Macaca fascicularis: one gene and its partner. The protein of the gene in region 2 binds, or shares a complex with, the protein of the main gene of each other region. Links are inferred from orthologs where the notes say so. Each region holds a gene or a part of one and is shown on either strand. Other genes may lie near its edges.

Evidence for each region. The genes of interacting proteins can lie anywhere in the genome.
Region 1: the proteins of ROBO3 (region 2) and NELL1 are in contact, whole or in part, in a crystal structure (PDB 6POL), measured with the Homo sapiens proteins. The link is inferred for Macaca fascicularis from reciprocal best matches to the Homo sapiens genes ROBO3 and NELL1. Residues at the interface, in NP_071765.2 of Homo sapiens: Ser553, Pro555, Val590, Glu592, Phe594, Pro596, Asn600, Thr601, Trp602, Thr604, Ile624, Leu626, Arg630, Gly633, Ala634, Trp635, Gly636, Leu637, Ser638, Glu639, Pro646, Val647, Arg648; in NP_006148.2 of Homo sapiens: Ala440, Lys441, Met442, His443, Tyr444, His446, Tyr458, Arg468, Val469, Asp470, Asp471, Phe472, Ser473, Asp478, Ile492, Cys493, Thr494, Asn495, Thr503, Cys504, Lys505, Pro506.

The regions. Positions count from the first base shown.
Region 1 is NC_088388.1:45,050,462-45,054,569, forward strand, and holds the start of NELL1 (protein kinase C-binding protein NELL1), read right to left. Parts: upstream 2,803-4,108; 5' UTR 2,666-2,802; coding exon 2,611-2,665; intron 1-2,610. UniProt on the Homo sapiens protein: Plays a role in the control of cell growth and differentiation. Promotes osteoblast cell differentiation and terminal mineralization.
Region 2 is NC_088388.1:123,437,345-123,441,407, reverse strand, and holds the start of ROBO3 (roundabout homolog 3), read right to left. Parts: upstream 2,808-4,063; 5' UTR 2,662-2,807; coding exon 2,502-2,661; intron 1-2,501. UniProt on the Homo sapiens protein: Receptor involved in axon guidance during development. Acts as a multifunctional regulator of pathfinding that simultaneously mediates NELL2 repulsion, inhibits SLIT repulsion, and facilitates Netrin-1/NTN1 attraction.

The DNA of each region.
Region 1 (4,108 bases), about 78 Mb from region 2:
ATATCTGAGCAGCTCACTAAGTGAACCACATGTTTATTTCATCTAGGACTGTTAACAGCCCAGACAACAATTGTCCCACTTGACAAAGAAACTTTCCATGCAGCTGTTTGGATGCTGATAAACTAATCACCAGCCAGCCTTTGTTACCTAAGAGGTGGATGGATGGTGTGGTAATGGTGATTCCTGCACAAAATCAGACGGCTGCCCCCAGAAAGCTACTGCTTATACCCTCTCAAACTACAAGATATTTTAAGTGTACAAATTGAGAGGTAATTCCCCCCGTCTCTCTGATTCTTCTGATAATGTGTGAAGAAATATGTGGCCTCTAGTGTTCAAATAGTGCCAAGGGGCATTGAAAACCCAAGCTCCCTAGGCAACAGTCACAATCAATGGGTCAGATTCTTCCATGCTTCCCTGCCTTTGCTCAATCTGTTCCCTCTGCCAAGAATGCCTTACCACTTTGTCCACCTGGAAAACTCCCTACAAAGCCTTGAAGGCACAACTCTCAAATCCCTGACCACCACTCCTCCCTAGAATTAATTCAAACTGTCCCTCCTCCATATTTCCTTAATACAAACTTATACTCCTACCTCTTCACCACCCCCCATCAATCTGTAAAATTAAAATGCCTGCCAGTTCCTATCTAGATTCTCAGCTAAGCTGTAAGTTCCTAGAAGTCAAGGACTAAGTCATTTCCTCTTTGCATAAGAAATACTGGCACCCAGCAAAACATCGTTTGTTGAATGAATAAATACATGAATGAATTTTTCCCTACAACCAAATTTTTACATGATTTAAAGGGGATTGGAAGTGGAAAGAGGGAAAATACCTGCTCTTAAAGATCCCCTCCACAAGCAATGAACCCTGAAACACCTTGCATTCCGTGATAAGGGTACTTTGGCGACTTTTCAAAGGAATAATGAGAACAAAGGATTTAGGCATATTCCGTAGTGATGTGCACTTAGGGAGGTGAACTGACTAACGGGTTGCCCCCTCCCTCTCAAGCTTCTCCCTGTCTGCGGTTCCTCTGCAAGATGTCCACCAGCACTCTCGCGCTCAGAGCAGGTAGCCCACGCTCTGCACTAGTCTTGCCTGTCCTGATCTTCCTGGGGTGCGCGCACTCCTTCAGCGTTTTCTGGTTTCAAAAGACTAACTCGTTCTGATGGGCCTGAACTCAAGAAGTAACTATTCTAAGCTAGACTGAGCCTTGGCGTCTCCGCAGCCTGGGAAGCTCGGAACTTCCCAGGTAAGGAACGGAATGGGAGGTTTCTTTTGTCCCTGGAGAAATCCATACTCAACACTCTTAACCAGACGAAAGCCGCTGCCTGCTCAGTCCTGGGGAAGTGGGAAGGGTCCTCTGAAAGCTCCTAGACGCTAGATCTTCTGGCGGGCTAATTGCCAAAGAGGGGCGCCTGGGCGCAAGCGGAGGGAACTTTTGAGCCAACTAAAGGCAGACGCCCCCTCAGCCCTCTCCAGGTGAACTTGCTCTTTGGCCTGGAGAGAAGGCCACGCCTATAGAGAAGGAAATACGGTGGTAAAGCGGGGAGAATAAAGGCAGAGGGAATGACCACACAGATTCTAGGGTGCAAAGTCGGCAGCGCGTACGGAGGGATGGCTGGGCAGGATTGCAAACCTCCGACACTCCCCCTAGTTGACAGGCCCTATTTTTGCCAATTTCCTACCACATCTCACCCCACCTCACCTCACCCCAGTCTCCGCGCATCTACTACTAGCTCTTTGAAGAAGGCGGCTGCAAGCCAGTCTCCAAACCCCAGGGGACTTTCGGGCAAGGAAGCCGGTGGAAGCAGAAGGAAGAAGATGCGCTGAGAGTCCTCACAACTGCGTCTCCGGAGGCAGAACGAAGTGGGGACTTCAGACAATCATGCACCATCCTTGCTCCTCCTCCCCACCCCGAACCCTGCGATTATGGCAAGAGAAAACTGGTTTGAGCTTGAGAAAATCTCCTCGGATTGTCTCCACAGGTCTATTTCCCTTAGATAATTGTTCGCCCAACCCTTGGGAGCAAAGCGGGGCGGAGGAGAATACTCCTGGAGTTCTCCTGGGTAGTCAGAAAGGGACAGGAGGAGATCGCAGGATCCCAGGGTTCTCCCGCAGTTCTCTCCCCTCGCCGCACCGCGCCCTCCTGGGCCCCGGCCGCACCCGCCAGCCGGAAGCGCTCCCTCCGCGGGTGCGACTCCCGCAGCCACCCCTTCCCAGCCTGGCGGGGGTCGGCGAGAGCGGTTTCCACAGCACCTTTCAAGTTCGGGAACACGCGGCACGCGGGCCCGCCCTGCTGCGGGTTTCGACTCCCTGGCACAGAAAGCTGGTTACTAGCAGCCCGAGGGTGCGTCCGCTCGGCCGCGCCCCTCACTCCTGCGCCCCAGAGGCCGGGTCCCCTGAGAACAGGCACTCAACGGGGACATCTTCAAGCCCGTGAGTCCCTCTTCTCACCCTGTCACTCCCAGCAGGGCAAAGAGATCCCAGGAACCGATCCACACTACCGCCGTTCCCCAGACCAGCGTAGAGCTCGGCTCCAGGTCTCCCCACGCCACCGTGGGCTATGGGCACCCCCGTTTCCCGGATCCCTCTAACCGCCACCGTCATGCTTACCTGTCCTGGCAGTGCACACACAGAACCACACAACTAAAATCACATCCACCGGCATCGCTCCCGAGGGTCCCCGCCTAGCAGGGCGCACCGAAGCTAGGTGGAAACAAATGAGCCTGGATCCTGAGGCGCGCCTGGCTTGGAGCCGCCAAACTTGCTAGCGGGCGGCGGGGGAGGTGGCTCGGCAGCGCCTGTGCTGCGCTCGGGGATGCGCCCGGGAAGGCAGCCCCGGCCGCCCCGCCCCCAGCCCGCCCCTCTCCACGGGCGGCGGCGGCGGCGTGGGGCTCGGGGCCCGGCCCCCGCTGCAGCTGCGTTCGCCTGGGAGCCGGGGCAGGAGCGAGGGGTTTGGCTACTGTGGCTTGTTGCGCTCCCCACTGGGGGACGATTCCGTTCGCCTTCTTCGCCCCCGGAACTGCGAGGATCTGGACTGCAGGCGCCGCAGCCGCTACCACCCGGAGCACCCAAGTCGGAGTCCCGGGACTCGCGGCCGAAACCAGAAAGCGGGAGGCGCACGGCGCCCCCACGGCTTCACGCGCTCCAGCCCCGCCGAGCCGCCGTCGCCAATGTTGCCGCCTCTGCTTCCGCACCGCGGTGGGGGCTGCAGAAGTTGCCACAGTTCATCCCCGCCGAGTCGAAAAGCCGCTGTGTCCTAGCGGGTGGATATTTTTCCTCCGGGGAACCCAGACCGAGGCGGCGCCACCGAGCGCCCACGGACCCCCTCGGAAAACAATTACTCGGGATTCGCTCTATCAGCTGGGTAGGGAGAGACCTGAGTGAGATGATGGCTGAGTTCCCGCTCACCGCCTGTACCTTCTCTCTCCTCTCTCCTGGTGAACCCCTATGACTGAGTACTCTCTTTGTGGGTGCAGGAAGAGGGCACTGAGGTGGGGGTGCAGAAAAGGGGTCCTCGAGGCAGAGCGAGCTGTGGTTGGGGTTTGGGAAGTCTGTTTGCAAACCTTCTCGTTCTGCAGGGCAGATGCTGCCACATAGGGGTAATACCTAACCATCTTTTTTTTTTTCTTGCGTGATTTTCTTAATGGTATTATCAAAAGCTCACTCTTCTTTCATAGTCACATTTTGGCCCCATTTGCAATTTCTCCGGGACCTCCACCTTCTTTTCCCTCCCCCACCACCACAACATTCTCTGGAGAGAAAAGCTAGGCTTTGTTTTCTACTTGGCAAGAAGAGAATGGGTTCTCTCCCCTCTATGCGACCCTTTCAGGACCTGACGACCTTCCCTGTGAAGATCTCCCAAACTTGAGACTGCTGTCCCACTTCGTATTTGTCCCACTAACACCTAGGAATGTTATTTACAACTGGACATGTAAAGTCATGAAATCTGAAATGACAGCCTCTGATTTACAGCAAATGAACCCCACATAATTTCAAGTTACCCAGCTTGTTCAGTCTTCCCACTCTTTCTGACCCCCCCAACTACTGCCCCTCACCACTAGTACCCCTTTGATATTCACAACAGGGATTCCAGAGGAGTCCAAGGAAA
Region 2 (4,063 bases):
AAGGGCTTGTCAACCTGGATTCTATGAGTCGCACAGAGTCCTTCTTACTGACACCCCGGATAATCATGCTTCATTTCAAGTGTCCTGTGAAATCACAGGAATTGAACTCAAAGAGCAGTAGAAATATTAGTAAGTCTCCTTTTCCTGAGAGGTGCATAGTTTCCAATAGATTAGCCTACTGATTGATGTTCCTCTACTTTCCCTGCTCACTCGAATCAGTTCATCCACATATTCTATCCCACCTGTCACTTGGCCTGCAGACTTTGGCCTGTTTCGCCTTCTGCACTAGGGTTTGGGATCCCGGAGCCTGTTATACTCCGGCAGGCTCAGCCTCTAGTCCAGCCAACAAAAGTGGATTTGTAACCCGTGGCGGCCAGTAGGTGCCACTGCAGCCTTGAATAATCTGGTGTAAAATAACCAGGGACCACTTCAAGCATCTGTTCTGCCCGCTGCCCCCTCCCCTCCTACCCTGTTCCAAAATCTGCAGGAACCTCCCGGTTCCAGCCCACGTGTGAGTTGGGTTTCATTTCCGCCCCTCCTCTTAGAAGTTCTGTTGTAGACAAAGCTGGACAGGCTGACCAGTGCTGGGGCTGCCCTGAGAAGTTTATTTTAATTGCCTGTAGTCAAGAAGATCGATTTCTGTCCCACTTGAGAGAATAATTTTCTCCATCTCCCTTCCAATTGGAAATCTCTGCTTTTCACCCGTCTCTTCTCCTCCATCTCCTCCCATTCCCAATTTTGGAACACCCCGTGGTGAGCAACACTGGAGTGACTGAGAGCTCAGGTGTTGGTGTTGAACCAACCAGGGCTGGAATCTCAGACTTTGACCCTTCCTAGCTGTAAGAACTTGGGCAAATTATTTAACTTCTCTGAGTCTTAGTTTCTTTATTTGTGATGTGGGAGTAGTGATAGGGTTGCTCTAAGACCATAATGTATGTAAGGCATTGGGGGATAAATGTTACTACTCTGCCATTATTTAAGGGCTTGTATTCCCAGCATATGCACCTTATCTTGGCTCCTACAGTCTCTACCTGAATCGAATTCTACCAGACCCCAATATTCTTTTTTCCCCTTGGTATAGCCCTCAGGTGTAAAGGAAATAGACTGATCTGTTATGGCTAGGTTTTGCTTCATGCTGCTTTTGTGACGATTAGGGCACCATTCACTCTATAAAGCATTTTCTCAGCGGCAAAATGTGTCTGTCAACACCTTCCTTACATACCTCACTAAGTTTTCGAGCTTAGATGAGACCAAGTATGGTGAAAACACTCTGTAAAAGCGCTAAGTGAGCAGAAGCGGGACTCTGCGGGGTGCCAGCGAGAAGGGGTCTGTGCTTAACCTCCTGGGAATCTAGGAGGGTCAAGAGGTTGGAGAATCGGGCTCATCCCCCATCGTCTTCCTCCCCACTCCTTCCATACGGAACACACCCTTCTGGTCGGTCCTTTCCCCCTAATTCCTGTAGACGCAGCTGCAGGCGCCCTTTCCCTGGAATTTCCCCCTACCCTTCCCGGTCTCAGGAGATGCTTCGACTGCAGCCTAATGAATAGCTAATGGCCATGCTAATGAGGCTCTGGGGCTCCTCCCTCAGCACCTGATGTGTCCTACACATAAACACACACATATTGCCCCGGTCTCCTTTCTCTCCACCTTCGAGTCCCCAGCACAGTGCTCGTCACTAGACTCGAGTGGGTCGAGGCAGAGGGATGGGGACCGCGTGCACCTGGAGGGAACCACACGCGAAAGCGCCCGGGAAAGCCGGGGTTGCCGATGCTGCAGGCAGGGGGCGCGCTCCGGCCTCTCCGAATGCTGGCGGCGGCCGGCTCCCGCAGCTTCCCCGCGGCGCTAGGGGAGAGCGCGCTGTCCCAGTCATTTATTAATCGCCGTAATTAGCGGTAACGACCTCGCAGCCAGCTCCGCCCGCCCGCCACAGCTCTGCCGGGGTGGGCCGGCTGAGAGTCCCGCCGCTGAAAGACAAACTTCTAAGTTTCCTTAAAATGATCGCCGCCCCTGTCCCCTCCGTAGCAAACACATCCAGCATTTTGGCTTCCTCTGGTCCTAAGTGAGTTCTTGGGAAACTTCGGGATTCCGAAGACCAGCTGCCTGGGTGGGTCACCGAGTGACCCGGCTTGGCCGAGGCCGGCGGGAGACCGTGCCCCCTCCTCTGCCCTCCCTGCGCTGGGCCCGGGCCTTTCTTAGCTCGGACTTCCCTGCCCGTCACCAGCCACGGTCTTCTCACCTGGGGTGGGCGTTGTAGGGGAAGGGAAGGAGGTGTAAAAAGACTCAGTAGATATCTTCTCCCAAGCCCTCGACCTCCCGCGGGTACCCCCACTCAGGTGCTCCAAGCTCCAAATTATCCCTTAGCCCCCAAGACCCAGGGAGGCGCTGGGAGGCGCCGCTCAATCCTGGACCTCGGGACAGGAGTGATTCTCCTTCTCTTCCACGCCGCCCTCTCACCTCATCCCCATCCCAGGATCCCATATCCCCAAGAGGCAGGGACTCACCGTTGAGTGAGGGATCGCCGGGAGGCAGCAGGGTGTGGTTGAGCGCCGCCAGCGAGGAGTTGAAGCCCAAGAGTAGCTCGCTGGAGTTGGAGATGTCCCCGGCCAGAGAGTCCGCGAACAAGTTCATCTGCAGCAGCGTTTTCAGCAGGTAGCGCAGCATGGTTCGACCCAGCTGGGATCGGGGCGGGGGGCTCGGGGCCCAGCCCCTGGGTCTGAGACCCGCGGGCCGGGTGCCGTAAGCCCCTCCACAGCCTCTGCGCGCTGCGGCAGCCACGGTGCCGCTCTCCTGCCGGCTCGCCTGGGTACGGTCGGTGCCTCCTCATGCCCTCCTCCTTCCCTCGTCCTTCTCTCCACCCCCCAGTGCCGGAGTCCCCTGGGAGCTGGGCAGGCGGAAAGCAGGTGCCACGCCGATCACGGCGTAATTAAGGGATTAATCCACCTCCCTCCACCCTCCCACCCCTACCCCTACAGTCACTATCCGGGCAGGAGACTAGAGTAGCGTGGCACGCGAGTTGGAGTCCCCGCCCCGCGCCCCAAGTCTAGCGTTCTGTTCTGGACGCAGCGAGAGATTGTCCCTTCTTTCTCAAAGCACCTAAGATGAAGGATGAGGCTCTGTCGAACTCTGCCCTTCTGCCCAACTTTAGAACAGGAGTCTGTCCTCTCTTTTCCCTAACCTTATGGAAACTGAGGCAAAGCGCAAGCAATGCTCCTTGCTGCCAAAGCTCTGACTTCCATTCCCTCTCAAGTCTAGGGATTTGGCGACGGAAGTGCAGGAGACTGGGGTGGTTTGCAGCAAGAGTTGGGAGCAGGAAGAGAACTCCAAGACAGGTCCACCTCTCTGCCCTCTGGTCCTCTGTTCTGCAGCCTGGAGGCCAGGGGATGGTGCGGCGCGCCCTGACCCGGGAGTCCTGCTCCAAACGCCCTAATCTAGGAGTTCCTGTAGGAGACCGAAAGCCAGGCAAACCCAGGCAACTGTCATGTGCTTGAATACTTTTACATTACTCTGCTTTGACATTTTTTGTTAAATTGTTTTACGTTTTTGAGGAGACTGAAATGGAACCAAGGATTCTAGGATAAAAACAAAGATAATATTATTTTTGTAAAGGCATGTGGGATTGATGCAAAATTCGTGCAAATCTGTTCAAATCTGATAACAGTCGTCCTTACTGGGGGGCGAGAAGAAAACCATGCACCCCCCTCTCGCCTCCCACTTCCAGTCGCGGTCTGCTTCTGACTTTTCTGGGGTTCTTTCTACCTGAAGAGCCCCCAGTAGACTGGAGATGGCTTTGGGGTGTCTAGGAAAGAGAGAGGACGGGGCATTCCTAACCTGAGGTAAGGCCCTGCTGATTGAAAAGTCAGTGCCTGAGTTCTGGCTCAGCCATCAGCTCCGGGATGAGACAAACTTCATGGGGCGACTGCTTCTGACCCCAGAGGGATGGGTGCTATACAGTCGCAGACTCGGGAGTAAGCAGAATCAAGAATTGAAGTATTTCAGGCAGAGCTTGTTGAAGGGAACCCGAGACGTTGTCAAGGGGTGGGGGGCTTCTTCCAAGCCTCCTTCA